4 linked regions of the Alligator mississippiensis genome follow. The protein of the gene in region 1 purifies or fractionates together with the protein of each later gene. This does not show direct contact. Links are inferred from orthologs where the notes say so. Each region holds a gene or a part of one and is shown in the gene's direction. Other genes may lie near its edges. The genes, in order: EZH2, SMARCA5, ARID1A and FAM120A.

Evidence for each region.
Region 2: the proteins of EZH2 (region 1) and SMARCA5 purify together in Homo sapiens (affinity purification with mass spectrometry, with the first as the bait; 3 studies listed by BioGRID). This does not show direct contact. The link is inferred for Alligator mississippiensis from reciprocal best matches to the Homo sapiens genes EZH2 and SMARCA5.
Region 3: the proteins of EZH2 (region 1) and ARID1A purify together in Homo sapiens (affinity purification with mass spectrometry; 3 studies listed by BioGRID, with this or other methods). This does not show direct contact. The link is inferred for Alligator mississippiensis from reciprocal best matches to the Homo sapiens genes EZH2 and ARID1A.
Region 4: the proteins of EZH2 (region 1) and FAM120A purify together in Homo sapiens (affinity purification with mass spectrometry, with the first as the bait; 3 studies listed by BioGRID). This does not show direct contact. The link is inferred for Alligator mississippiensis from reciprocal best matches to the Homo sapiens genes EZH2 and FAM120A.

Annotation. Positions count from the first base shown.
Region 1 is NC_081828.1:117,666,915-117,674,305, forward strand, and holds the start of EZH2 (histone-lysine N-methyltransferase EZH2), read left to right. Parts: upstream 1-4,371; 5' UTR 4,372-4,475; intron 4,476-4,517; exon of another isoform or gene 4,518-4,537; intron 4,538-5,509; exon of another isoform or gene 5,510-5,515; 5' UTR 5,516-5,543; coding exon 5,544-5,581; intron 5,582-7,391. UniProt on the Homo sapiens protein: Polycomb group (PcG) protein. Catalytic subunit of the PRC2/EED-EZH2 complex, which methylates 'Lys-9' (H3K9me) and 'Lys-27' (H3K27me) of histone H3, leading to transcriptional repression of the affected target gene.
Region 2 is NC_081825.1:102,404,057-102,411,074, reverse strand, and holds the start of SMARCA5 (SWI/SNF-related matrix-associated actin-dependent regulator of chromatin subfamily A member 5), read left to right. Parts: upstream 1-4,011; 5' UTR 4,012-4,214; coding exon 4,215-4,367; intron 4,368-6,806; coding exon 6,807-6,881; intron 6,882-7,018. UniProt on the Homo sapiens protein: ATPase that possesses intrinsic ATP-dependent nucleosome-remodeling activity.
Region 3 is NC_081829.1:2,932,091-2,939,784, reverse strand, and holds the start of ARID1A (AT-rich interactive domain-containing protein 1A), read left to right. Parts: upstream 1-4,677; 5' UTR 4,678-5,250; coding exon 5,251-6,168; intron 6,169-7,694. UniProt on the Homo sapiens protein: Involved in transcriptional activation and repression of select genes by chromatin remodeling (alteration of DNA-nucleosome topology).
Region 4 is NC_081835.1:26,558,476-26,565,559, forward strand, and holds the start of FAM120A (constitutive coactivator of PPAR-gamma-like protein 1), read left to right. Parts: upstream 1-4,078; 5' UTR 4,079-4,489; coding exon 4,490-4,963; intron 4,964-7,084. UniProt on the Homo sapiens protein: Component of the oxidative stress-induced survival signaling. May regulate the activation of SRC family protein kinases. May act as a scaffolding protein enabling SRC family protein kinases to phosphorylate and activate PI3-kinase.

The DNA of each region.
Region 1 (7,391 bases):
GCTCACACCCATTGTCCGCCTGCTATAACAAATAATTTGATTATTCCATGTGTTCTGAGAGTGTGGGTCCATGTAAAGAAAAAGGACTACTGGTCCTTTGATAAATTAAAAAATGTACTTATTCCCTCTCTAATTTAATTAATAGAAGCAGGACTGGACCCAGTGAATTTCAGCCATATATAAAGAACTAATGCTTAAAATGTACTAAATTATGCCACATTACAGACCCACACCCCCAAAAAACCTCTGCTTTGTCACTAGCTGCAGCCATATCTCAAAGTAGAGAGGACAGCTGTGAAATAGCTGACAAGGCAGAAATTTAAACATTTTTGTACTTCCTTGTAAGAGCCATAGCATCAGCTACCAATAATCCTGATGTCAGGCAATAGGGGTGGAGTTGGCTCACATGTACTGTACTCACTCCTAGCCAAGCAGGAAGCACTGTATGGCATCCAATCAACAAGTGTTCTAGGCCTGCCTTAAAAAAAGTGGAATCTTTCAAACTAAAGGGATTCCTCCACTGATTCTGCCTGGCTCCTCCAGACAGGGATACTATCAGAGGCCCTTTACTGCAGAAATTGGTAGTGAAATTATTAGAGACACGATCAGAAGCCCATATTTGTTAAAAAAAACTTTCTTCACGTTTAAAAAAAAAGTTCTACTTTGAGCCTACCAGTGTTTAATTTTGCTTTACACTATTGTATCCCTTTCTCCACGAGATGCCTGTAATTTAAGAATAAATAAAGACATGCTATTAGTTTGCCCCTATATAAATGATCAGAATTGCTTGCACTTCTGGCATTTTAAAATGTTTTTAAGGCCAAATGCAGTGCTGAGATGTCTGACTCATAGCATATAACAATTCAATACTCTGTAAATTCTTTATGTAATACTTGATTCATGCATCAAAAAACAGGCATGTTTCACTGGTGGGTTGGACCCAATCCTGCTTCTATGAAAATTCATATGATTTTGTCAAAGGGAACAGGACCAAACCAGAAAAATGATGAATAAAGAAATAAAAATGTTTAGAATAATCTAAAGAAATGTATACTATCCAAATCAGATTTTTTTTCTGATTTGGATTTTGTTTCCATTGTTATATAATTTAAACATTTTGAACATTAACATGATTTTCAAATGCTTTAATTTAGATGGTTTCATCAAGAAATATACTAAAATGCATGAAATAACTTTGCAAAATATCAATTTAATCATTCAAATGATATTCTATAAATTATGAATTATATCTTTTGTATCTGACATCTTCTTTTCCTTTCTTGGAGAAGAACATTTAGTTAAAAAGACCTTCTTCCATTATGAAAATAAGTCAGAAACAGAAAGCCACTTGGGAGGTTTTGCTCAGTGAGAATGGAAAGTCTACAAGCAGCTCTTTGCAACTTTAAACACCTTGGAGCAGAAAAAACAACTGCCAACACTCAGGCTGTTTGCAGGAGACTGATGATCAGACAGTCTGCTTTTTAAGAGTTATTTTCTGATTAGATTTACACATCAAGGCAACACAATTCAACTAAAATGGAAAGAGTATTTCTTTTTAAAAAAGTACACAACCCCCACTCCCACCAAAAAAACCCAGTCCTTTCAGAGCGTTTGATCTTTGATTTCCTAATTGGAACTAGTTAACTCCAAACAGGATACATCTACATATATGCTTTACTGTGCAGTAAACTGTCATTGTTTACATATGCACGGCAATTGGGCCAGTGTAGACTAATTTACAGAGCCGCTGGATAGTCGTCAGACAGAGATACTATCCAACAGTGGAGTAAATTACTGCGCTTAACTGCATGTGTAGACAGTGTCGTCAGTATTAGTTTGCTCTGGCTCACATTGCACCAGAGTTTATTCAGTCGCATTAATTGTACGTGTAGACATGCCCACAGTTCCGGGCACAAACAACTTTCCACTGAAGTGCAGACATCTGAGATGAGGATCTGTTAACAGTTTAATATTAATTTCTCAGTAATAAAATTAACTAAACCAATTACAATAAGTTATTTTTAACATTATTTGTTAGGACCATTTTATGCTTCCTCACTGAAAACAAACTAATGGTCTCAAATTCTAAATAGCAAAGAACTGGGTGGCCATCTTAAATTTGGCAGCCATTTTGGGGTAGTTTTAAATAGCTTTATATCCAGAATTGATCAATAGATCCCATTTTAGAAATGTGCCAATTTTGGTAAATACAATCACAAACGGGAATCTTTTGAAATTATCATTTTTTTTCTGCTGGAATTAAGAAAGGGATAGGAGAATTTGTAACTGCTATGTTTCTTTATTTGCAAAGGAAGATGTTACAATAAAAATGAACTATTAACATTGACTCAATGTAAGGATCAGAAAACAAAGGAGACAGAGCTATAGTTCTATCAGGTCAGAAGATTTTCTTTAAGTTTTGTGATATTTTAGATTTTTGTTGAAACACAGGTTGCTAGAATTAAGAGACAAATACATTTCTAGTCTTTATAGTTGCTGGGGAAAGGTTGCAAATTTGAAGTGAACCCTAAAGACTCAGTAATGGGAAAACAAAAAACACCCAGAATGTATTATTGAAAAAATGGTGTTTCACTGATGTAATTATTTGGGAGAGGGGTAACTCATGGTTGTTTGAATGTGGCTGTTGTTTTTACAGATAAATACGTTATGGCAGGACCAATGAGCCTCGATCATATTCGGGATCCCTTGTGCTAATTGTGGTACAAAGACAACACAGACACCTGGTTCTCTGACACCAAAGAACTTCCAATATAAGATGAGACAACAGGTAAATACAGATAGAGAAACAGATGCAAAAGTACAAGGAAATGACCCCAGTCAGCAATAGGCAGTGATTTCTGCATGCTTATTTGCCTAAATGATATTTTTAGGTATAATGGCCAAAGACAGTTTTCAGAAAAGACTTGAAGAACTTAGAGGAGCCTCTTATAAGTCTGAGTTACAGCCTAGGAGAAAGCATGCACATTTCTGATTGAGAATGTAACATGAAATTTAACAGGAAACTCTGCCAATGAAACCAGGCCAATGAGTCTTGGGAGCTGAGGTCTGACAATGACAAAGAGCTAACAGGTAATATGGGGATGGGCTATGAATAACCATGAAAATGCAGACAAGTGGCTTTTGCGTGGTCCAGCTAATAAAGTTGAGCTGGTAGAGGGATGTAAAAAAGGTGACATGGCCAAAATGCTGAGCTGGTAAAATCATATTTACCCTAGTTTTGAACTGGCATGAGTGGGAAAAAAAACCCTTTTTCCTTAGAAGGCCAAGGAAAAGGCTTAGGTAGTAAGCAAGAGTGTGGGATGATGACAGCCTGAGTGAGAAGGCCGCGTAGACAGACAGGACAGCCTTTTTTTGTGGGGATGCTGTAGAGAAAGCAACAGGAAAACTTTAAGCATGGCCTCCACTTGACAGTGTGGCCAAGACCGAATAGACAGCAGCCCACAAATTAGAGGCCTGAGAGGAAGGCTGATGTCAGTGGCATTAGGTTTTGGGTAATGCTGCAAGATGGGGCATTACTAAAAGCCCTGGATAAAAGCTGTTTTGCGAAACGTGGCATCCTGTTAAGTGCAGCAAGCTGCTTGAGGGTTTGTCAACATCTTTATTAGCAAACAAGGGGCCTGTTGGGAATTTCGCGACCGTCCGGGGCTGCACTGTCAGCTTGGATGTGGAGAAAAACACTACCGAGGATGCGAAGGGTCTTTGGGAAAGGGAGGGGCGAGGAGCCCAGGCTGCTCCCGGCCCCGCTCTGCGCTAGGGACAGTTTTGAACTGGGCTTGAGACTCGTCCCCGAGGCCGGCTCCCGGCAGGTGTCAGCCGGGGCGGGGCTTCCAGCGAGCCGGGGCTGAGCCCGTGGGGAAAGGGCAGCAGCAGGGACTGCGGCAGTGGAGCCGCTCGGGTCGCAACAGGTTGGCAGGAGGCGCCGGGGGCACACAGGCAGCCCAGCCAAGCCCGCCCCCCGCTTGTGCCCCTCCCGCGCGCGCCGCTGAGGCGCGACGGTTAGAACCGTTACGGCTCCCACTTTCGAACTGATTCAAACTCGGCAGCGCCGAGCAAGGGCAGCCCCTTCCCTCCGTGACGCAAATGACAGTTTCAAGGTCCCCCCCGCGCCCCAACCCCTCTCCTCCCCCCCGCGCGCGCCCACGGCCGGCGTGGAGCGGGGCCGGTGTAGGGGGGAGGCTTGAAACTCCCCCTCCCCGCGCTGAGCGCGAGAACAAAGGGCTCCCCCGCCCCCCTCCCTCCCGCACGTGGGGAGCGCTGACCCCGCCCGCCGCCGCCGCGGATTGGCTCCTGCGCACCGTCCTCCTCTCGCCGCGGCCGGCCAATCGGGGCGGCGCTTGGTGGTCGCCAATGAGCGCGACGCGGATTGGGCCGCCGGGCTTTGGCGCTCGGTCCGCCCGGGAGGGTGAATCCGGCGGCCGGAGGCAGCGGCGGGCGTTCGCGGGAGCCGGCGGCGGGTGAGGAGGCTGCACGTCAGCGGAGCTGGGGGCTCTTTATAACCGGCGCCCCCTTTGTGGAGGTGGAGGCCGCCCCCCGGGTGACAGCGCCCTTTGTCTCCCGCGGGCACGGGGTGGGGGCTCGGGATCCCGTCCGAAGGGGCCCCCGGGGAGCACCCCGCCTCCGGGCTCGGCGGGGCCGCGGCAGCCTCGTGCGCTGCCCGCAGCCGGAAGCCGCCGCTTAGCCCAGGCGGCCCCCGTGGTCGCTGCTTCCCCTCCCCCCGCCTGCCCGCCCGCCAGCTCCGGTCGCTATTGTGATGCACGCGCCGCCTCCCCCGCCCCCTGCCAGCGCCTCTGGGGGAAGTGCGGGGCAAATGCGGCCGCGTGCGACCGGCTCGGGAGCCGGCGGGGACCTGCTGTGAGCCCGGCCCCTTGGCCATGGCGGGAAAGCTGTCGAGGCTGAGCCGAGCATGGGCTGTTCCCAGCCCTCTGTTTGCTCTATTTTCCTTTTCTGAGTCTCCGCCATAGGTGTCAGCAAAGGGGTTGGGGAGCATCCCCCAACTTGGGGCAAATGATTCATGCCCAGGGAAGGTGGCGGAGGTGGAGGGCTGATTCACGGGCGCCTGGTTCTGACTGGAAAGACTTAGTGGGGTGGGCGGGCAGGCGGACTGGCAGTGTCAGCTTGTCAGGGGAAGGGCTGGAGGCTTTTGTTCTGGGGGCTCTGCTATGCAGCCGGTTGGTGCCCCAGCCCCACAACCCCCTGCCACTAGGAAGCTGGAGTTTAGCTTTTTGTTTTTCTCCCCTCTCCCAAGGGAAACAGGGGAGCAGGAATCCTTTTTTGATGACCCCAAGTTACAATTGTCGTCTTTCGCAGAAAAGGATTTGTATGGGGGGTGCTGTGGGGATTGGCCGTAAGTTTTGAGACCTAAACCTGTGCGGCGAGTTCTCATTTGATTTCCGAATCGGGGGTTTTCTTCTGTTCCCAGGGTTTAGGACTTTCCTGGAACTTGCCTGTCACTTGTAACAGTTCATTAAAAGCTGCTCTTTTTCTTTGTCCCAAGTGTCCATATCCAGCTGGGAGCTCCTGGGATGTTTATTTGTGGTAACCAGAAAGCATGTTGTGAAGGGTGAGTACATGTACGCAGTGTTCTAAAAGTACCTGCCATTTGGTCTGTCATGATTTGAATACTTAGGACCTTATGAAGATCGGTGATACGGACAGTATATCTCATGCTTTTTTTTTTTCTGAAGTAGTTTGATGCGGACAAACGTAGAACTTTTGGTTTAAACATTCTGTATTTGTGCAAGACTGAATGTTAAACTGAGTCAGATTTATTTATTTATTTATTTATTTATTTATTTATTGTGTTTGTTTGCTTCCTGCCCAAAAAGACCACCTACTGTTTGGTTGCTGTGGAGAGGATTATGAAAAGATAGTTTGTGAAAATATCCCCCCCAATAGTTATGGGGTATTGGCAGAGGTTTCTTTTAAAAGCATTCTTTAAAACTTAGCATGAGGTATCAACAGCTACATTTTCTGATGCATTTCAGGATCCTAATTTAGCATAATAGGATATATGCAAGGTTTGGTTTCTTTATACAGATTTTAAAATATAGTTGTATTCTGAAATGTGACAGACACTTTGGGACTGCCTGCTGTGGCAATGACTTGTAGATTAAATTTGCTCAGTTTACAAATTGTTTTCTTAATGGGCTGTAGACTGAGATCGAAATCGGAGTAACTTTGCCTCTCATTAGAATTACTAAAGACTCTTAAATGGAATTTAGGTAGCAATTTTGTTGAAGGTTTGTGTATCAGCCTAGAATCCAGTTTGCTCGTATAACTGGATCCAGCACTAACAAGGCTATAATGTAGAAAGTATATCCTTGTGCTTGTGCTAATGTTTCTATATTTGGGGAAGCTGCTACTTAGTAAGCTAAGGGATGAATTTGCAGTAACCTAGGTACTCTGCAATAAATGCTTGTAGGGATGTTCTTAATGTACATTAAGAGTACATTTGCGGTAGAAAGTGTGTGTGGACAGCCAATGTATGCAGTAACTTCTCTGTACTGTAAATTAGAAAGCACTGTCTTGACTGTCATGAGCTCTTGGACATTGTCTAAGCAGGGGTCAGCAACGTTTTTGGCCAGAGGTTCCAGAAAACACCCGAACCTCCACCCACACCTTGACTTGGCATGCCAGAGGCGTGGGACCCATGAGTGGTCTGATCCTCATTGCTGGTGGTAGCTGCACATGCGCCTCTGGGTGGACAGCGTGGGAGGTGCTGGGGTTGCGCTGCCCCGGCTCCTTCCCTGCCATGCAATGTGAGGCATGTGTGCCCCCACCAGTGGCACAGAGCTGGTGCTGGGGCTCTGATTGCGGCCTGCTTGCCACCTGCTGTAGCTGCCCAGAGCCTGGGCTAGCTGTCAGGCAGTCGGAAGGCTGAAAATTGTGGTATTGGGCTCTGCGCCACTGTGTCTGGTGGCGATGGCTGCATGTACACCTCTGGGCATGCAGCTGGGAAGGGGTCTAGACTGCACAACCCCAGCCCCTCCCCTGCTGTCTGCCCAGAGGTGTGTGCAGAGCTGCTGCTGCCACCACTGAGCCAATGGTGGGGCTGCAGATCACAGAGCAGCTGTTTGTTGCCTCCCAGCTGCCTGCCATTGCCAGCCTGGACTCCAGACAGCTGCAGCAGATGGTGGGGCAGCTGCAGGCAGTTGCGCTAGGCTCCGCAGCCTTAGCAGTGGTGGTTGAACACATGCCTCTGGGCAGATGGCAAGGGAGGGCCAGGCCTGTGTTGCCCCAAGCCCCTTCCCAGCCATTCACCTAGAGGTGCTTGCACAGCTGTCCTACCCATGTTAGCTGCATGGGGCTCCATAACCCCAGCACTCTAGTTTACAGCATCCTGGCTGCAGTTAGCCCAGGCTGTGGGCAGC
Region 2 (7,018 bases), on another chromosome or scaffold:
AGCTGCTCACTACCCCCCGCTGCTGATGACGCTGCTGTTGATGGTGGCGACAGCTTCTTTGGGTCCGAAGCACGTGGGATCAGAGCAGGGGCAGGGCCCCACATGGGCTGATTTGCCCTGGTCCCCGCACCCTGCTCAGGTTGGCTCTGCGGGCTGCTGGCTTTTTTTTTTTTTGCTAGGGCCTGAATGGTCTCAGCTGCCCCAAAATTTAAAAAAAACCCAACACATTTGGTCAGACCAACTCGCCCATCTTCAGAGAGACTGCCAGGGCTCCAATTGAAACACGGGCCAGAATCTGGGGCCTGGCACTGGTCATAGCTGGGGGGAGCACCCTACGAGTCCTGCTGCTGGATCTCACAATTACTTCCTTAGCTGTGGGCTCCATCAGTTGTGGGACTCCCAGCTGCAGCAGCTCATGGGGCTCCCACTGAACTGACGTAAGGCGTAATTGGATCTGATGCTGGGTCCCACAATCATGCCTGCTGCCTTGCATGTGTGGCATGGCAGGAGGTGTGATTATGTGGATGGCACAACAGATCCTATCACACATGTATGGCTGGATCAGGGTCAGGCCACTCTACCTTACCCTCTAATGGCTGGATCAGGCCCAGGCTCCTGCTGCTTTTTCTCTCGATGCTGGATCAGGACAACCTGCTGGGTCTGGGCTGCAGACAGACTGGTTACTGCCCATCCGGCTCACCAGCGAAAAAGATTGAGCACCACTGTCTTAAAGCATGGTGTTGTTGGAGACAGAATCCTGGGTTAGTTGGACAATATGTGCTGCTGCTGCTTGTCCCCAGGGAACACCCATGCATATGCACTCTGGCACGCAGCATGCTGCCCCAGGTGGGGTAGGGGAGGCTGGGGCTGATGGCTGTGAAATTTAAAAATGCAAGACAGTGGCTGAGGCAAGACTGGGTTGTAGTAACAAGTCTGCCACAACGAAAATCAAACTCCGCTAATGGCTGCAACGCATTAGGCATAAAGAAAGTGGAGCTTGCGGTACCCAATACTAGACCCATGCCATAAGATGATCGCAGTCATGCTAATAGTCCTCAACCTTCTACCACAACCGAGCCTATAAATAAGCGTGATGGTTCCTCTAAAAGGAAAATTTTTGGCAGAGACCTGACACACTCATCACATGTATATATCCAAGCTATGAGAGAGAGGCTGAGCTAGAGAAGGCAAGGAAACTACATATACATTTCAATTGAACTAGCAACTAAAGAAGATTAAATATACATTTCAAGCAAAACCTGTAAAAGGTGCACTGAATACAGGAAAGGTGTCCTGTATGTGACAAAAAAAAATGCATAAACACATGCTCATATTTCTCAAAACATGCATTCAATATCTAAGGTGTTACAAAAGTCTCAATTGTTCAATGTCTGTCTGGAGTTTTGTAAATAGACCATAACCACCAGTACAAGCTATTGCAAATTTGTCCCATTGTTAAACAAATACCCAAAGACAGATCCGGTAAGCAATGCCTCTAGGTATCCTGTTTAGCTATTCAGGACCCATCACATTTAACTGATGAGCTAGTCAGTAGCTGCAAGAAACACAAGTCTTCACACCTGGACAAATCCAAAAACAGGAGCCAGGCAATTTAATAATTGTAATGTGATTGTTCCCCCTTTTCCTCCCCGTTTTGTTTGGTCTTTAATTGACCAACCATCAAAGAAAAATGCTTAGAAGCTATACAATTAAAACAGTATAAAAAGAAAGACAGAACTGCCAGCAAGGTGTGCAGTCCAGGGAAGATCAAGAATGAGGCCGCAGCTAGAATACTGCGTTCAGTTTTGGGCTCCACAATTCAAAAAGGATGTGGAGAAGCTTGAGAGAGTCTGGAGGAGGGCCACGCACATGATCAAAGGTCAGGAAAACAGACCTTACAATGACAGGCTGAGAGCTATGGGACTCTTCAGCCTGGAAAAGTGCAGGCTCAGGGGCGATCTGATGGTCACCTATAAGTTTATAAGGAGTGTCCACCAGGATCTGGGGGAAGGTTTGTTCACCAGAGCACCCCAAGGGATGACAAGGTCTAACGGTTATAAACTCCTGCAGGACTGTTTCAGGCTGGACATAAGGAAGAATTTTTTTTACTGTTTGAGCCCCCAAGGTCTGGAACAGCCTGCCATCGGAGGTGGTTCAAGCACCTACTCTGAATGCCTTCAAGAGAAATGTGGATGTTTATCTTGCTGAGATCCTATGACCCCAGCTGACTTCCTGTCCCTGGGGCAGGAGGCTGGACTCGATGATCTTCCGAGGTCCCTTCCAGCCCTAATGTCTATGAAATCTATAAGAAGCCATCCTGCACCCAGTCCACAAATGAAGGACCCAAGCTCTGTGAAAACTGTAAGGATAAGAACCGCTTCCTGCCTGCTTGGGTAAAAGTCTCTTGCAGCTAAAATAGTACAAGGACTGTAATAGTTCATGTACTGAATATTAAGAAAGAGTCTTTTTCTGTCATTCAGTTTTATAGCTTGTTTGTAGTTATTCAAGCAAGCCTTTCTGCTATTAATCAACCAAGTGTTGTGTCAGTTCTTAAAGCACTAGGCTCGAAATCTGGTTTGTGAGCGCAACGGGGGCCAGCATCTGAGCTGGCCCCAGCAGCTGTACCTGGGGTCTTGGGAGGCCTCCGGGGGCTGCAGCCACAGCAATCCAGCAGCACGGAGCCTGGCTGGCAGCCGGAGTGTGGCTCTGGCTGGCCAGGCTCTGGTTTTGGGCACCCCATGTTGCCACCACATATGCCACCCTACTTTTTTTAGGCTGGGTCCCACAAAGTTTTTTTGACACAAGGATCTCCAAGTGTCAAAAAGCCCTCCTATGCCGCAAATTGGCTGTGTGGGGAATGCCTGCATGTGCAGTGCACACAGTGTGTGGTGCTGGAGATGGGTGTGCGCTCATCTGGATGTGCCTGAGAAGCTAGATCAAAAAAAAAGTATTTAGGTGCCTGTTGACTTCACTGGGAAGTCAATGTTGCTCAAAGAGGATTCTGGCACTTCAGTGCCTTTCTGGATCTTCTTGGCTGTGTTAATCTCTTTTAAGCCTGGCTCCTGACAATCACAGCTTTCCGTATTTTTCTCTAAGCCCTGGCTCTTGAAGCCTCTTCATATCAGAGACTCTTAACCTCATCTGTTTTCCATTTCTAGTCCTCTTGATTTGACAATCAAACAACACGACTCACCAAATATTATATGAAAATATTATATATACTTTAATATCATATTATATATTATAGAATCACAGTGCACCTATATGAGGTATTATATATTTATTTAAATATATTTTTAATATTAAAGCAGTATTTAATATTTAATACGTTATAATCTCAAAATATTATAATTGTTATTGTTTTGTTACAATCTTGTCATTATGGGTGGGCTGTGTTATTCTTTTGTGTTGTTCTTTTTAATCTATTAAGGCAATGTGTTGTTTTACTTGTTGAGGGGGAGGGGGTCCTGAGTTGACCGCGGCGATTCCTCCTCCTCAGGTCCCAAGCCTTTCCAGTTTGCTAATTGCTCATTTGCTAATTCCTTTTTTTTTTTTACCCCCGCCCCCCCTTTGCTAATTCTACCAGGGGATGGGATGGAGGGGCGGGGCAGCAACTGGAGTTTAACAGCACAGTGTGCGTCTGCCAGTAGCAGCAGCTGCAGCTGTTGGGTAGCTCGTGCTGCTCCCGCCGCGGCGATCCTCGGTACCTGAAGCAGCGCGCTCCAGACCAGCTGAGCTCCCGGGACCAAGAGTTCGAGCCTTGCCACCACCGGTGACGTCAAGCCGGTTCGAACACTTCAGTTCCCGGTTGCCCCACGCGTGATAAACGTGCTTTCCCAGGCGAGGCGGGGCGGAGCCAGAGTGACGCGGCAGTTTAACGTTCCAGCTCGCCCCGCCCCTTTCCTCGCGCCTGGCCCTGCCAGCTCACGCGTCTTCCCAGCCCATAGCCAACCGGGAAGCGCTCAGCGCGCAGGCGCACTCGGCTTCTGCCCCGGCCCTCCGGGAAGAGCTGTGGGAGCTTCTTTTCCCTGCCCCCGCGCCAGTTCTCGCGAGAGCTGGGAGCCGGCTCGGGTGCTGGTTGGTGGGCGCGGGTCCGGAGCGAGCCGGGACGGGGGCAGCGCGCGGGGTCTGAGCGGCGGCGGACACTGTTCCCCTTCCCTCCCTCCCTCACCCCACGCGGCCGGCCGGGAAGCGCCCTCCCCCGCGTCGGCATCATGTCCGCCGGGCAGCACGAGCCGCCGCCGCCCAAGGACGAGAGCCTGCCTCCTGCCGCGGCTCCAGCTCCGGCTCCGGCCAGCGGCGAGGCAGTGGTGGTGGGGGCCGCTCCCCTCAGCGCGGGGGCGGCCGTTGGCGTCGCCGACATGGAGGTGAGGGAGGGCACCCCCGGCCCGGCCCGACGCCGCGTGGGGCGCAGACAATAGAGCGGGAGGAGGCGCCTGGGCCGCGGCCGCGTGTGCGAGCGGAGCCGGGGGTGGGCGCGGGGGGCTGGCCGGGGGCAGGGCAGCCCCGGCGGACTGGCAGGCGGCGAGCACGTGGAAGCGGCGGGGCTGGAGCTTTGCTCCCTTGCAGCTGTGTCCTGCCGCCCTGGGAGCCCCCCCCCCCACAGCGGGGGCAGCCGCCCGGGACCCGCGTCCCCGAGCTCTTCGCCGGGAGCGTCAGCCTGGCTCAGCCGGGGTTGTGGCTCGCGATTTGGGGAAATGAGTCCATCCTGCTTCTAACGCCTGAGTCTGCCCAGCCGGCTTCAGAGGACTGGCTTGGACAGCTTTATTTGTTTATCTTTAAAGCTTCTTTAGAGGAGTGAAAGCTGGGGGGGGGAGGCAAAGGGCCACCGGAGAAGAGGTCCATGTCTTCTTGTGTGTGATGGGTGGTGCTTTGGAGTCCTTTGAAGACTTAGGGTCCTGTCTTCCAGTGGAAGCAGTGTGCTGCGTTGGCCTCAGTACCGATTTTTGTTGCCTCCTTTTGTTCCCCACCCAGTGTGCTGATCGTAGCTGTAAATGTGCTGCTCTCTTTCTCTAGCTGGACCGTTGACTGTCGCCTCAACTAAAAAGGCGTTCTTTCTGAAGCGTTAGCCTCTTTGCTTGCATGCTGTCACCCAGAGGTAGCCTTTTGAGCTAGTTAATGAAAGTGGCAGGAAATGCAAGAGAGATGAGAGCAGCTGGGGCTTTGTTTGTGCTGACACTTCTGATCTTCCTTCCTTGTTGGTGGTAGGATTTCTGAGGATGGTGGCCTTAATTGGACCAACTACATAGCTGGGATCAAGGTAGACAAGCTCTTGAGTGTAGGACACGCTTTGTGGACTATCACAGCTATTGCATCACTCATACGCCATCGTTGCCAGTGTAACTCCTGTGATGGTAGCAGTGCACAGACCGCTTGTGAACACTAAACTGTTGATGTGCATGTAGGACACAGAGAGACACAGTGATGAAATCTCCCTCCAGTAGCAGTACTTTTAGGAGATTGAGAAATATGCCATAATTAGGTAGGGGATTGAGAAACATGCCATTATGCACTGAAATGGAGCAATATGCATTTGACAATCATTATCTGTCCTTTGTATTCAAGAGAGAGTTCTGCCAAATATTAATGGAAAGAAATCTACATTCCTAAAGAAGAGTCCACTTGACTTATTTGCAAGGAGATTCAAGAATGATTTAAATTGTAATCTTGGTAAAAAAGTGCTCGGATAATTACCATGCTCTTCTGTTTTCCAAATCTTATTGCCAGGGACTTTACAGGCTCTGCTGGCCCTTTAACAAGTGGTGTTATTCTTTTAATAAGCATTTTTTTGTGAAAGATATTTCATGGTAAGTTGAACTCGTAAACAAGGGCCACAGCCCTGCAGTCCTTCTCACTGTTAAGCAAGGTTGTCGCGTATCAGATCAGTCCAGTCTGGATAGGCAGGATGCTCTAGCAGGGCTAAAGGGACTGAGGACCACTGTGTTAATGCACTGATTTCTAAACTGGAACTGCACCTTTCATATTTGGGTATGCTCTTGTGCTTTGTCCTTTCACACAGTGACCATGCTTTCTCGCTCTCTCTCTGGTTTTTTTTGTCTATTCTATTCGGGGTTTTTTTCCTTGTTAATTGTTTTTGCATGTGTTCTCCTTTGTTTTAGCATATCTTTTCTGCTCCCAGCTGCTGTCAGGGAATTAATTCAGCTAACTTTTCATGTGGGTCACCTAAACAGATGGGTGATGAGACACCTGGAGAGTTTCTATTTACTCTCTTTACAGACTACCCTGAAAAAAAGAGTAAGATGCAGCTTCAGCACAAATAGTCTAGAGCAGGACTTTGCCTGTAATGTTACAGCACATATTGTTTCTGGTGTGAGGATCCAAAGCAGAGTGAAGTTTATAAATGCTTGGTAAAGAAGTAAAAATGTGATATTGATAGTAGAGTTGAAAGGTGGTTACTGATGCGGAGTAAGGACCAAATAAATCCCAGTTTGACTGGGTAATCAAAGAAAAGGATCCTTCTAAAGGATAAAGGGGAGTAGAAAGCAAATTAATATATAGATAGAATTTGTCAGTAGAAAAACAATCTAGTCATCATCTCTACCAAAATTGGTTTGGTACAAAAAACCAAACAGCTATGTTTTTCAAACCTGTCACCCTGCCCTTAGGAGTAAACTGAATATTAAAAATCTACAACCTGGGTAAGTAAATCTTTTAATGTGTCAAGATTTGAAAGAGAGAAGTCATCCACTACGGGTAGAAAATGTGTGCAGAAAATAATTTCTGAATAAGGCTGAGTCATTTTTTTCACAAAGTTACAACTTTAATTTGCCTCTTCCCCCTTTTAGGAAACTTTTGATGATGCATCGCCAGGAAAACAGAAAGAAATTCAAGAATTGGATCCCACATATGAAGAGAAAATGGTATGTAACTTTGGATATGTATACAGTATGTTACTGGTGGCCAGTAGTGATGCAGTTACTTAAAATGAAAAAAAAAATGTTACTGATCTGCACTTTGAGGCCCTTTCACTTGATTCCTGGCACTTTGACCAGGTATT
Region 3 (7,694 bases), on another chromosome or scaffold:
TCCTAATGTTGAATTCAGACACAGCCACCCCTCTCGATTAACCCTCGCTTTAGGCTGAAACGAGTCTCTCTCCAACGTCCAGGCGTACAAAAAGTTGTTATTATCTCGCTTGGGCCATTTGAAAGAGAGTCATACTGAAAGAGAGGGCATGGAAGGGGGTTGTTTCAGTTGAATAAATGAATCCCACGTTGCTTAAAGCTATGATTTGTTCTGTTCCACTTTGTACTTCCCTTCTGTTTTTGAGACCCAGCAGGTTGAGAGGTGCATGGCACGGGAAAGATCTGCTGAGTGTGTTGCAAGGCGCGGTTCCACTCCACGCCAAAAGCTCCAGTTCAGATTTTACAGCTCCTGGTGAGGGCTGCTAAAATAATGGATTTCCTTGAGTCAGAGTTGAGTCCACTTTCCTCTCTCAATATGCATCCCAAAGTTTTTCAGCTCACTGTCAAATGTTACTCAAATGTTAACGTTAGATTTTCCAAGTGTGTCGGAAACCTTAGTTTAGTACGGTACCTACGTTCTCGCTTGGTTTTGAAGACCTAGCAAATCCAGTTGAAAATCCACTCCAGCCTTTGAACTTTGCAGCTATGTATGTTCAGTAAACTGACAGAGTTACCTTAGCTCAAACTCCACTTCAGTTTTCACTGTGGAGATCTCTTACTGTGTGCCCCTTTGCCATTGTGGCAGTGCTTGGGAGGGAATAACACCAGACCTCGATATTACTTTCAAATAAGCATTGCCTTGTACAGTGAGCAGTAGATTAAAAACAGTCAGGAAATAAATAATTCAGAAATAATATTAGTGTTTAGCTTCTACAAAGGAGCAATACGAGCTGCTTCTCCTAAGCATGAGAGCATTGAAAATAGTGGAGAGTGTAGGGGCCGACGCACGTCAGGAGATTTACAGAAAACTTTTTTTTTTTTTGAGGGGGGGTGGGTAGAAACTGCTCAGCAACTCCATAGCTACTGTCATGTACTGCAGCTAAGCCTCCATCGCTCCAGTCCATATTTTGCAATGTGCTCTATGAATTATAATAGATTGGTCTCTTCTTGGGTCCAATCTACTCTCGCAGTAGCTTGTGCAGCTCAGTAAAATGGAAGAGCATCCTTATTCCCAAGTCTGAACCTTTCTGCTCAGCATTTTTATTCTTGTTTGCAAGAAGTAGTTCGTGCTTTATTACAGAAACTCTCTCCAGTTCCTACAGTGTGAATCCAGTCCACGTTTGTAGCCTGGTTAAGGGGGCCAGGGATAATGATAAGAACTCTGCTGTGCGCGCGTGTGTGTGTGAGTGTGCGAGAGAGAGACTTTAGTCCCGTTTCCATGTCAACGATTCAGTCCATATTTGCCATCACACAGTTGGCAAGAGCCTCTTTGAGGAGGGAGACTCTACTCCTGTTTCCAGTAGTCTAATCTATCCCAGGTTTCCTAATCTGCCGTGGTGCCAGGTTAAATGGCAGGGCCACCTTCATGAAGGAGATTCCACTCAGTAGGAGCCAACCTAGCGGCAGTGGCCTTCATTGCCATGTGAGAGACCCGAGTGAGACTTTCATCCTGTGGCATCTTACTAAGTGAACTACCTAGGGCCTTCCATGTTTCAGGGATGTATGTGGTAGCTGTGTTGGTCTGAGACAAAAAGAAATGCAAAAACCTAGACCTCTTGGCTCAGAGATGAGACCTTTTATTAGACCAAGTGAAAAACTGCAATAAAAAATTATATATTTTTTGCAGTTTCTCAGTTGGTCTCATAAAAAGTCTCATCTCTGAACCAAGAGCTCTCGAGTTGTGCATTTCTACCGAGGACCTGGCCTTGCTATTGCAGACTGCTTGGGGAGTGGGGAGGAGAAGAGTCTCTCGACGTGGCCTCAGGTCAATAAAGGAGGAGTTTTAGCACGTTTCAGCAAAGCCTTGCCCGGGTCTCTTTGGCTGGAAGGGGCACAGTCACGAGGCTAGACCATGAGGCTGATAAAAGACAAACATTCACAGGTGTTAGGGTTGCCAGAAGACCTTTATTCTCCAAATAGGATGGTAAGGATCTCACAAGGCATCTCGCTAGTTAATAAAATGGCAGGGCCTCATGGAAGAGTCCTAAAATGAGGTAGGGCTTTGCTCTGAAACATTGGTAAAAGGAGCGTCTCCTTGGTGGGGGTGTGCATGGGCACCGGCCAATGTTTTCCACGGCCCCTTTCGCTCTCCGCTTCACAGCGAGCCAAGGTGCTCTTTGGAGAAGGCTCCAAAAGTGCGACGCTGCAGACAGTAGCTGAGAGCAGATACTCGTTGTCTGCCTACAGGAGCCACTAGACTGAAGCCTCACGCCTGCTCTGTCTTTGAAAGACTCGAAGGCATTCAGTCAAAAAAGCAAGGCTTCATTTAATGAGGTAGCCTCCGGCCTGGTTTGTGGGGGAGAAGGAAATCAGGATTGTGTGGACCAAAAGAGTTGGGGATTCAACGAGAGAACTTCCACGATCCTGTTTTTCCTAGTGCGTCATTTTAAGAGATGAAAAAAGAATATCCTCTCTGTCTGCCCGCCGTGGACGTTACATCCTGTCACAGGGCTGGCACAGAGCACGAGGCCTCCTTCATGTGGAGACCGTAACATGGTCTGCTGAGGGAGAGTCGACTCCCCGGCTCAGTCTGGACCTCGCTCTTCGGTCGGACGTCAGATGCCTCTTTGCGAAGAGGGCTCGGGTCACTGTTTCCTCTGAGCAAAGTTTAAAGCCCGCCGCGGTGCCCAGTAAAACGTGAAGGCGTCTTCTTTCAGTCTAGGCCGGCTCAGCGACTGGGACAGGAACGTACTGTCTCCCTTTCCCCTGCGGTCTGCTTCAGAGGCAACACTCCCGGAGCAAGCTTACGGAAATACGCCCCACCATTCTCTGCTGGAGGACGAGTTTCCGTGCGCGGTGTCAGGGCACACAGACATGGGGGGAAGGATTGGGAAGCCAGAGATCTCTGAAATCTTTCTCTGCTCCAGAAAAAGCAACGGCAGCGCTTGCCTGTTGTCAAGAAAAGTCCGGCCCTAAATTCAGTGCTCAGAAACTGCTTCAGGATTTTGTGGCAATTGGCAGAGGACATCTTGAAAGAGAAAGAGTCTCCGATCCAGTTTGTGCCTGGAGAACATTGTAGGTCTGCGGGTTCAGATCGGATTGTAAGATGTTATTTTTTTCCAAAGCAGAGCTGATGCCTACTTTGCAGCCCCCAGCATTTCCCTGGTAGCTCCTAGCGTCTTGGGAGGCCAGTCCTGAGAGGGGCCTTTGGGTGCTGTTCTAATGCAAGGACTAACGTTAGCAACCGTTACATATTATCCCCGTACAATAAATATTAGGAAAAAAGAGAGGCCGAGTCTCTGTCTCCAGGCCAATTTGCTGAGGCGGAATTTGCTCTGTGTTGAACAGTCTATTGTAAACTGGCAAAGCTGCTTTTGTTAGGGAGCCTGCAATGCAGTTTGTGGCTCTAGAATATAGTCTGAATTTTGCTACCCATTGACTTGTGCAAATCCCTATCCCTGCCTCCACCTTCAGACTGAATCCCGTCTAGGTTTTAGTGTCCACGATTCTCCCATCTACGTCGTTAGAAAATATATATTCTACGCTTGGCCGTGAATGCCACTTCTCTTATAGGCTTGAAAGCCCAGATACCCACTGCACGTGCATGGGCGGTACTAGCACTTGTTCAGCGTCTCATCTGTGTCTTGCTTCTTGGGCCTCTGGTCTGCTCATTTGGATGCGCTTTGTGTCACGTGAACTGTGGCTTGCTAGCTATGGATTGCCACCAAAAACCCCTTTCCTGGGTAAACCCGAGGCAGGTAATTGCTGCGGGTGCCTTCTGTTCCCCGTGCCACCGGAGAAGGGAAAGACCGTTCCCACCAGCCCGTCCCTTGTTCAGGAACCCCCGTAGCAAACTCGTTCGACATATATGTACAATCGCGTTTGTTCGGGAAAAGTTCCCCCTTCCAACAAGCATTTCTGAAGTCGGGGGAAGTCTCGTCAACTGGGTTATCAACGCTGATATCACGAAGACTACCACTTCCTAATGCCGGAGACTTGATTTGGCGGTCTAAATTCACTTTTATTTTGATCTAGTTTCATTTTGTTATCGTCTTGGATCACACGCGTGGTTGAGGGAACCGTCGTCCCCGCGGCACGCAACCGCAGCGCTTGGGCTACAGGACTTGGGACAGGGCCTGCTGGCTCCAGGGGGGCTTCGCCTGGGCAGAGAAGACGGTTGTAAGGGGACCCTGAACCACCCCTCGACCCGCTCAGTGCCTGCCAGGGCCATGCGCTGGACACACGTGTATAAAATCACGGGGAACAAGGGCTGGAAGGGGCCTCGGGAGGTCAGAGCGGGGCCACCGGGCCTCCTGCTCCCGCTCTCTCCCCTTCCGCAGGTCTTCAGCGGGGGGTTCGCTGTCCTGACTTAGGGGCTCCGCAAGTGGCACGGGCCCAGCGAGGGGGTGGGGGTGGTGGGGGGCAGCATCTCCGGGGGCAGGGAGCAGAAAGTGGAGTGGGGGTGGACGCAAACAGCACTTCCCAGGACAAACCCTTTGCCAAAAAACCCACCAAAACCCAGTGTTTTGAAGTTGTTTTTAATGTCCTAAGAGCTGGTGGCACTTGCGAGCGAGCGAGGGCGCGGGGGCCGCTCGCCCGAGCTGGGGAAGAAAGAGACTTTCTTTCGGAGCGGCGCATTCCCGTCGCAGTCCGCTCCGATCCGCGCCGGGTTTCGCGGCGGGGGGGAAGGGAAGGGAAGGAAGGGAAGGGAAGGAGCCGAGCCGAGCTGAGCCGAGCCGCCTTTTGTGGCGGCGAAGGGCAGGGCAGGGCAGGGCAGAGCGGAGCGGAGCGGAGCAGAGCAGAGCAGGGCGCCGCTCCGCGGATCCGGATCCGCCGCCGGAGTTGCGAGGCGCCCGGGGCCGGCCGCTCCTCCGCTCTCCTTTGTGACGGGGGGAGGCTCCGCTCCGCGCGGCTCCGCTCCGGCCGGCCGCGCTCCGCTCCGGGTTTGGCAGGCGGCCGCGGCGCTGGGTAAAATGGCAGAGCCGAGCCTCGTGTCGGAGTGAGCCGGAGCGGAGTCGGGCGCTGCTCCTCGGCCCCGCCGTGTCCCGGCCCCCCCCGCCCGCTCGCCCGCCCGCCCTCCTCCCTCGGCCCGGCCCACTCGCCTCGCCTCGCCTCGCCTCGCCTCGCCTCGCGGGCCCGGCGGGGATGAGCCCCGCCTGAGCGGGGAGCAGCGGAGCAGCGCCGCGCCGCGCCGCGCCGGGGCGGGGGGATCATGGCCGCGCAGGTGGCCCCCGCCGCCGCCGGCAGCCTGGGCGCGCCGGCCCCGGCCGAGCTGAAGAAAGCGGAGCGCGAGCAGGACGAGGCGGCGGCGGCGGCAGCAGCAGCGGCAGCCGCGGAGGAGAAGCCGGCGGGCGAGGGCGCCGCCACGGAGGCGCCGGACGAGAGCAACGGCGAGCCCGAGCCGCAGGGCCCCAACGGCAGCGCGGGCCCGCGCGCCCACCCCGACCCGCCCGCCGCAGCCGAGGCCGCCCCGCCGCCGCCGCCACCACCGCCCCCGCCGCCGGCCTACGGCTTCGGGCCGCCCTACGGGCGCGGGGCGCCGGCCGCCGCCGCTGCCTTCCACCAACATGGCGGACAACAAAGCCCTGGCATGGCAGCGCTGCAGAGCGCCGGGCTGGAGCCGGCCTACCCGGGCGCCGCCGCCGCCGCCGCCGCGCCGCACAACTCGCACGAGCACGGCTTCGCCAACCACCAGTACAACTCCTACTACCCGGCCGCCGCCGCCGCCCGCGGCCCCGCCGCCGCCGCCGCCTTCCCGCCGGCCTACGCCCTCGCCGGCTCCCCGCGGGGCGGCGCGGCCAAGCAGCCCCCGCCGCCGCCGCCCCCTCAGCGCCTGGGCGCCGCGGCGGCCGCGCAGCCCAGCGCCACCCCCACGCTCAACCAGCTGCTCACCTCCCCCAGCTCGGCCCGCGCCTACGGCGGCGCCTACCCCGGCGGCGGCGGCGGCGGCGGCGGCGCCGACTACCCGCAGGACGGCGGCAAGGCCCCGCCGGCGCCCGCCGACATGGTGTCCCCGTACGGCGGCGGCGGCGGCAGCGCGGCCTGGCCGCAGAGGAGCCACCACGCGCCCGTGAGCCCCGGCAGCAGCGGCGGCGGCGGCGCGGGGCCAGCCCTCAGCCGCGGCCCGCAGGTGAGTGAGAGGGCGGCTGCCCCCCTCCGGCCCCGGGAGCTGCCATTGTGCCTGCGCGCCCGCGTCTAAAATGGCTGCCTCCCCCCGCCCGCCCGCACGCACGCACCGCCGGCCTTTGTGCCGCGGCCCGGCCCGGGCCCGGGCCCGCGCACCGCCCGGCGCCGGGATTTGAATTATGGAGGTAAAATCCTGCTGTCAAAGCCAGGAGACAGTTGGTCTTAGGTTGACATCCTCTCTGCGCGCTGATTGGCTCCCCCTCGCCTGCTCCTGGCCATTTGTAATTGCCTCTGATGTCATGGCACCGCCATCCCCTCCGCGCATCCCCCGCGCCCGCCTGCACGCCCGCCCGCCCGCCCGCGCGGCGCCCCTCGTCCCCTCAGCCACCGCCTCGGGGGAGGGCCGCGGGAGTCGTGCCCCCCAGCAAGCAGGCGGCTGCTGCCGCGTGGCCTCGGTCGCTCGAGGGCGCCTCGTTCCGGCCTCGGGAGGGCCCGTTTGGCAAGGTGGCTTCTCGGGATCCCCGGGCTTCAGGGCTGTTCTCGCACCCGACCGGGATCGTTTTCGGGAACGCCAGCGGTCTTCGAGCGCTGCGGGGCCCGGCTGCGTTGGGCGCGCCGCCCTTTGGGAGCGGGGCCGGTAAACGCGTCCGTGCGTTTAAGCCGTTTCTCTCGGTGTGATTTTCTTTTCCCCCCCTGTTTGTTGTTAAAGCCCCGGTGGAAAGGCGAGGGCAGGCTGTGGGGGTGCTGCACGGCACTTTTACCCATGTGCGAGTCAGACATTTTGGATCCGGAGCCAAGGGTTACTCACCTCTCGTTCGTATCTGTTCTTACTAGGTTTGAGGAGCCCCCGTCCGTGTGCGCGTCTCGGGCAGCGTTGGCAGACTTGTCTCTCTCCTCTCTGTCCTACCTGCGGAGACATTTGATACTCTAGAGTGTGACTTGCGCCTCCAGCTTTCCCTCCTCCGGCGTGGCTCCGAACTTTCATTTTTTGCTCCTTGATTACTGTCAGTGGTGTCTGCTTCCTCCTCTCCGAGCGCTGCAATCGCCCTCTCCCTTCAGTTGAAGCCCTGCTTCCTGATGAGGGTCTTCTCTCTGCTGCGGTCGCTGCGCTGTCTGCAGGGAAGGAGTAGGGACCCCTCTGGGTAGATATTCCAGTCCGCTTGTCTCGTGTTTGCAGGTAGGATCTTGTGGAAACCAGCAGGAAGGTATTTTATGGAGCAGTCGGGTGCTCTGTCCAAAAGTCCTCCTGGACCCAAACGGGTATGAAGAGGCAGCCAAAGATTAACCAGTCCAGGGAGGCGTGTGAGTGCCGTGGGCTACCAGTGAGAGAGACCACACGATAGGAACCTGTTCTTCCTGGAGGGTGGGAGCCCAGCCCTGCGTTGAACGTCCGAAGTGTGGCTTACAACCGCGTGAGACGCCTGGTCTCGGGTGGTTGGTGAGCGCACGTTTGGTGTCTTGGGAGCGAGTGTGACTTAGCATCAGCGCCGTGTCCAGAAAGTTTTGTGCTCCAAGGATGATCAGAACTCG
Region 4 (7,084 bases), on another chromosome or scaffold:
CCCCTCACACTGAGTAATCAGCTTCTGTCCTGTGCTACCACTAATGAGCCTGGGCGGGTGAGTCCAGAGCAGGTGTGGTGCGCAGGTTGTGGGCTTTGCATGCAGGTCCCTGCTGGTACCATGGGGCTGGGGCCAGCGGTAGTGGCAGCCAGAAGTCACTGCCACCTGGGCTGTCTAGAAAGGCAGACCAGCCATGGAGCTACCCTAGCCCTGCTGCATGTCCGGGGTACAGAAGGATGTGCAACGGGCAGGCAATATGGGATGGGCCAGGTTGGGACTGTGCCCAGGTTTCTGCTGATCTGCTCTGGCAGGGGTGAGTCCAGAACAGGCATGGGGTGAGCTGGGGCTGCGTGCTGCTGGTGGTGGTGGGGAAGCACTGCAGGGCACATGGGCTCCGAGCTGTTGCAGAGCGGGGGCAGATGCTGACTGGCTTGGGGGTTCCCTCATGCACACGCCACCACATGCCCCCCTGTCAATCCCCACAACCACACCCAACCCCACACACAATCACATACCCCATGAACACTGCACCTACCTAGACTATCCCCTCACAAACCCCGCATGCACCCCTGCACACACACACATGCACCCACACTCTCCCTCTCCACACACCCCACAAACTCCATACCCACACATCTCCACAAACACCCCTGACCCCCCATACACATCCACACACCCCCACACCCCACCTATACACACATCCACACACACACACCCACAGCTCCCCACAAACACCCCCGAGCCCCCATATCCACCCACTCACATCCACACACACCCCCACACACACATCCACACCCACCCACAGCTCCCCACAAACCCCATACCCACCCATCCATACCCTCCGCTCCCCCCTGCCAATATACAAGAGTAAGACCTCATCTTGAGCTGTTATACAATCACCTCTATATACACCACACAAATCAGGACAAACATATTTTTTTACTATAAAAGTAACATATGTTACTGTTCATTTTTTATTTTTAGTATATAGTTTCAGGTTCCAAGGTGGCAAATCCCCTTCCCCAAAGGATGACTTGTGGGGGCAAGGGGAGGAGGGACTTCTGGTGGCAAAGGTTAGGGGGCAGGCCTTCCGGTCCCAAGATGGCAACCAGGGAGCGGGGCATCGGTCATGGGGCAGAGCTTACCAAAACTCACTAAGAGGCCCTCCAGTGGATAGAACTGCCCAGGCCTGGAATATACTTCTACTCTGTGTGATGTGGGCAAAGCAGCAGCAAGGAAAGGTTTAGAGATTTCTCTAAAGAAGGGACAGAAGAGAGGGTTCTGTGGCAGTCCAGTGACATAGACTCTCTCACACCCACAGAAAGCAGAGACCAAGAGGAAATGCAGCAAAAGTGAATGCCTTTCTTATTTTACTGTACAAATGCAGTAGATTTGAAACTCACCCTCATTTCATGAACTAAAAAAATAAAAAACAATAAAGTTCATCTCACACCTTCAACCCTGGCTTGGTTACTTCAAGTTCCTCCCTATGCCTGCTCAGTTCTTTCCAAAAAAGCCACTCCCAAGTTTTCTGATATGCAGGTTGGATAATGAGTCATTGATCTTTAATAAGTCACTGATCTATACCTGTTAACTGGGTGAAAAGCTTTAGGTCCTTACTTCATCCTCAGTGATGGAGAAAAAAATAAATCATTTAGCCTCTCCACAAATGCTTTCCTAACTTAGCAGATCATGCCAAATGATCCACCAATTCTTTCACAGGCTTTCTGCTTCTGATAAATATAAAAAATATCTTATGTCTTTGGTTATTTGATCCTAAATCTTTCTAGCCTGTCTAGTTTCCAATTTAATTTTGTCTACCATAATTTATGTTGCTTTTTTATTGCTTTCACTTCTGGTCAGATTTCTAATTATTGAAAAATACCTATTTGGGCCAAATAACCATTTGAAACATACTGTTTTGTAATTCCATCCTATTTCCTTTTTTGTTTAGGGATACATGTGCCATCTGTCACTTAGTTATGTTATGCTTAAATAGCTCTGTGCCAAGAGTAAAGATTTTAATATCCTCACGTTTTAGGTCCTTTTTGCCTAGTGTTTCCTCTTTTAAAAAATCTCCAGATTTTTTGGTGTCATGTTTTTATTTGTCTGATTTCTTCCCTCAGCATATTAAATGTAAATGTACTCTGGTAACTCTTGCTTAATGATAAACTATAGATTACTTTTTTGAGTCAGCTGTTTTGTGTGATGTTTCGGATTCATTTGAGAAAAGCCTGCACTATGTGCAAGAGATGTCAGACTGAGACGGAAAGGGGAAAGACATGTCTTCACAGACACTATTTTGAAGAAGGAAAGTTGATTGTAATCTTTTCATTCACTGTCTGCGATTCTGAATGGTTTATCACAAAGTCACATTAATGATCTGAACACTACATTCTTCCTTGGCTGGACTGTTGACTAACTGAACGCAGACCTTTTTTTGTCTCATGCACTGCATTTAGTGTTTCTCTGCTGAAGCTTTGGACACTTTTTAAAAGACCCCTTAAATCTTTAATTGTGCTTCTAACCAATTAGTGTCTTATTCCACATCATATTTTGTACAATTTTAAACTCTTCTAAGATGCTTTGTCGTATTATCCTTAATATTGTAACAAAATTAGATGATTACACTTTATAGGGAGAATCTACTAAGCTTTCTATTAAGCTAACTTGGATAAAAGCTCTTGCCAGGTACTCATGAAAACCTTTGCAGAAAGATATTTGTAAAGGAGGTCTGTGCTATCAAAGTATTAAAAGAAAAACACCTGTTCCACACAACACTTTTTCATTAAGGACTTCTATACTTTTGGGTATTTCACCGTCTGTACTGGCTACATCAGTCACTCTGGGCTACAAATGTCCTCCAGATTTGTGATAATACTGCTGAAGAGCAAACCAGCCCACTCCCTAGGAACCAGTTGCTTACGAGTGAGTCACAAGGGAATGTTTATTTTAGGTGCCAATCTAACTGAAATCTTGTTAAAATAAATGTTATTTTTGCCAATATAATATTAAAGTCAGTATAAGGTATCTGCCCTACTTGACAGTTGCAGAGGAATATTAAGGCACCATGTTGATATTAAAAGAAACTGTGCAGCTTGCTATGCCAGGAAACATCTGAAGCCAAAATGTGGGCCTCTAAACCATTTCAGTATCTGAAGCTGGAATAAGAAAATTATCCAACGTAACGTTGGCAGCACTTCTGAAAAAAAAGGACAACAGGTCGTACTTTGGAGAGCCCAAGCGCTCCGAACTGCAGGCTGCTGACAGAGGCATGGGCTGGACTAGCGGGGCTTGTCGGGCCTACATTTGCAGCCGACCAAGTTTCCTCCAGCTGCTTTCCCCGGCAGCGCTCAGCCTGCAGCCGCAGGCGGGATAAGCCTAATCCCTTACTGCCGCCTTCACTTCTGAGTGACTGCGGCTGCTGCATTTCTACCTACAGAGGCGGGAACACATGCTCGCTCCTCCCGGCGTGGCCGAACTGGGGGAAAAAAACCCCGAAAAACCAAACCCGCCAGAAACGGATTCTGGGCCAGTTTGGCTCCGATCCGAGCTGGGCCCCGCACTGCTCCAGGCCGAGTGCGAGCGGCGGGGAGCGAGGAGCGGAGCCCTCGGCCCCAATGGACGAGTCGCACGTAGGCCTCTGCCATGACAGCGCGGGGGGGCGGCGGGGATTTATTCCTGGGGGGAAAAGCATCGCTTTCCCCTCAGCGCTGACGTAACAGCGAGTTGCGGCAGAGCCTCCTCGTGCCACAGCCGCCGCCGCTGCCGCGCAGCTCGGGCGGGAGCAGCGCCCCGGCCGGCGGGGGGGGAGAGGGGTTTAGGTGCCCCCCCCGCCGCTGCCCGGCCGGGCCCCTCCCCCCGCCCCCACTTCCGCCTACGCGCCAGCTCCGCTCCGCTCCGCTCCGCGCCGGCCGCTCGCAGGGCGCATGCCCGGGTTATGCAACAGCGCCGCGCGCCAGGCCGCCCGGGCCCGCCGCCCCAGTGCCGCAGCCGCAGGGCAGGGCAGGGCCGCGGGGCCGCGCAGGGGGCCGGGGCGGGGCGGGGCGGGGCGGGCGGCCGCGGGCGGGCCGGTGGCCGGGCCGAGGCGCGTGTGCGCGGGCCGCTGTGAGTGGCAGCGGCGGCGGCGGCCAAGTCCCGCCTGTTCCGCTCGCGCGGCTGCTGCAGGCGGCGGCGGCGGCGGGTTGGCTTCCTGCGCGCTCTGCCGCTCCCCCTCCCCCCGGCAGTAGGAGCCGCAGCGGCAGCACAGCCCGGATCCCCGAGCCATGGCTCTGTGAGAGCAGCACATGGCGGCCGCAGCAGCCATGAGCCCCCCACTCATCCACACGACTCCCCCCTGAACAGCCGCCGCCCGCCCGCGCTCCCAGCCGGCTCCACCGCTCCCGCTCCCCTGCAACCACCGCCTCGCCGGCCGGCCCCGAAGCCCGCCCGCCTCCCTCCCTCCCGCCGCTGCCGCCTCGGGCCGCCGCCCGCCTCGCCTCGCCTCGCCATGGGAGTGCAGGGCTTCCAGGACTACATCGAGAAGCACTGCCCCAGCGCCGTGGTGCCCGTGGAGCTGCAGAAGCTGGCCCGGGGCAGCCTGGTGGGGGGGGGCCGCCAGAGGCCCCCCCAGACCCCCCTGCGCCTCCTCATCGACGCCGACAACTGCCTGCACCGGCTCTACGGCGGCTTCTACACGGACTGGGTGAGCGGCGGGCAGTGGAACCACATGCTGGGCTACCTGGCGGCGCTGGCCAAGGCCTGCTTCAACGGCAACATCGAGCTCTTCGTCTTCTTCAACGGCGCGCTGGAGAAGGCCCGGCTGCACGAGTGGGTGAAGCGCCAGGGCAACGAGCGCCAGACGGCGCAGCAGATCGTCAGCCACGTCCAGAACAAGGGCACGCCGCCGCCCAAGGTCTGGTTCCTGCCGCCCGTCTGCATGGCGCACTGCATCCGCCTGGCCCTCATCCGCTTCCACATCAAGGTGAGCGGCCCGGCCCGGCCCGGCCCGGCTCCCGCCCTGCGCCCCGCGGCGCCCCCTGCCGCCGCGCGCCCCTGCGCCCCCGCCACCAGGCTCTAAGATGGCAGCGAGCGGGGCTGCCCTCCCGGTAATGTCGGGCCCGGGGGAGCCCGCATCCGCAAAATGTCGCCGAGCCCGGGCGGGCGGGTGGGAGCGGAGCGGAGCGGCCTGGGAGAGGCCTTGCCGCCGCGGCCGAAGTTTGTGCCGCCGCTGCTGCGGGCCCCCCTGGCCAGGCCGGCCGAGAAGCGGCGGGGCGCCCTTCGCGGCGGCGGGAAGGGTTTAGCGGGCACCCTGATGGCCTCAATCTCCGCCGGGATTTTCTATTTATACCGGGCTGTCAGGCCGTGGCGGGGCTGCAGCAGCCCCTCCCCGGCCCGACCTGTCGGCGCGGATTAGGGCCGGGCACGGCGCTGGCGGCGCGGCCCGGGGAAAACTTCGCCCGGCCGAGAAAACTTGCCGCCTCATTTCCTTCGTCCGCCTCTTCCTTCTCTTCGCTTCTCTCCATCGGCCTCTCCCCCATCACGTCTTCATCAGCAACTTCCATCCACCTCCCTCCTTTCGCGCCGAGTTTCTGCCTCTTCCGTTTTCTTTCCTCCCCTCTCAGCACCGTGTCCCCTTGCCTGGAGCCCGGAGCATCCGCCCTGGGCCCTGGCTGCCTCTCGCACGTGGCGGCTCACTGCTGTGGAGGGCCTCCAGATGCTGAGGAGTTAGTTGCTCCTCTCTTCTGCTTCTGTAGTTTCTACCTCAAAAGTTGGGCTCACGGTGTTAGGCTAGACCCTCTGCCTCCATGATCTCGGTGCTTTGTTCCATTCATTTCTGTGACCTGTACTTGTTTCTCAGAGGTCTCTTGACTGAGATACCAGGTTAAGTAGTAACTCTACAGGTAACAATATACTTCCACTTCTGTATCTGCCTATGCAAATGAAGACCTACATTGTTTGCCAGCATTTAAACTGGCGTTACAATCTAAGGATTAAAAAGAGTTCAGTTAAGTGAGTGTCTCCCTTAGAGGTCAGCAACAGGTTCCAGGTGGAGGCAGACTCCAGATTGAAGCCAGGTGCATGCCTTAATGGAGGAGGAAGTGCACAGGTTCTGAATCTACAATAAAATGCTCAGAATAACCATGTCAGACATAAAGAATTAAAAAAGAAAACAAAGCACCTCCTTCCCCTGGAAAAAAAAAGTCAACTTTCATAAAGGATGAAAGGTAGCATGACACTTGATTAATCTACATAACTATCACAGTCTTGTCCTAACTATCTCCCCCTCTCTCTTTTTTTATAAACCAAAGACTACTTAACAGATGTGTCTAAGCCATTTTACTTTAACATGTTTTTATTTTAAGGAAAAGGCTCAACTTGCTGGTAGTTTTGACTGCACTTATATGTCTGCTACAGTCTGTTTGCCCCAGTATTGAAAAGATGGCTCTGAGGGCCACAAAACATTTTACATTTAACAGACCACTTGGTAATCTCTTTCTGTATTGCTGATTTGAAAAGGAAGTAAAACAAAAGTGGTACTGTACACATACTTTTCACTGTAAAAATAATTTTTTAACAAAAATGTGTAATTCCAGGAGCTGTTTCCTTAAACTCCTAAGGAAAAGGGGCGCAGCAGTTGAGCACATACTCACTAGTTGCAAGAGTTGTTGCCTGTTACTTCTGCTGCGTAGTAAATATTACCTGACCTTCAGAGTCGTGCAGTGCTCGGTAACTGGAGCTTAACATTATCAGGCTTTTGTACTGTCCTTTTGGCAGATTATACCACAGTGCTGAAACTGGGCCAAAGGAGAACGTTGAGGATGGGGTGCGTTTCTGTAAAGATTGCATTTTTTGAAAATAGTGTCTAAAAGATGAATTTGAGGTTAAGGGTTTTTTTCACTGTTCAGCAGAAGAGGGGAAACAACCATGTTAACTAATTTTTGGAGTTGTGTGTGGCTCAATGAGACCTTCGTTTTTACAGGGGGAAATGGTCTATTTTGTTTGCCAGGCCCCACATTAGAAGTCATCCTGCATTCTGGAGGCAGCTGTAGTTCAGCCTACAGTGATAGTGGAAGTCCCACCCCTCGCTCCTGTTGTAACTGAT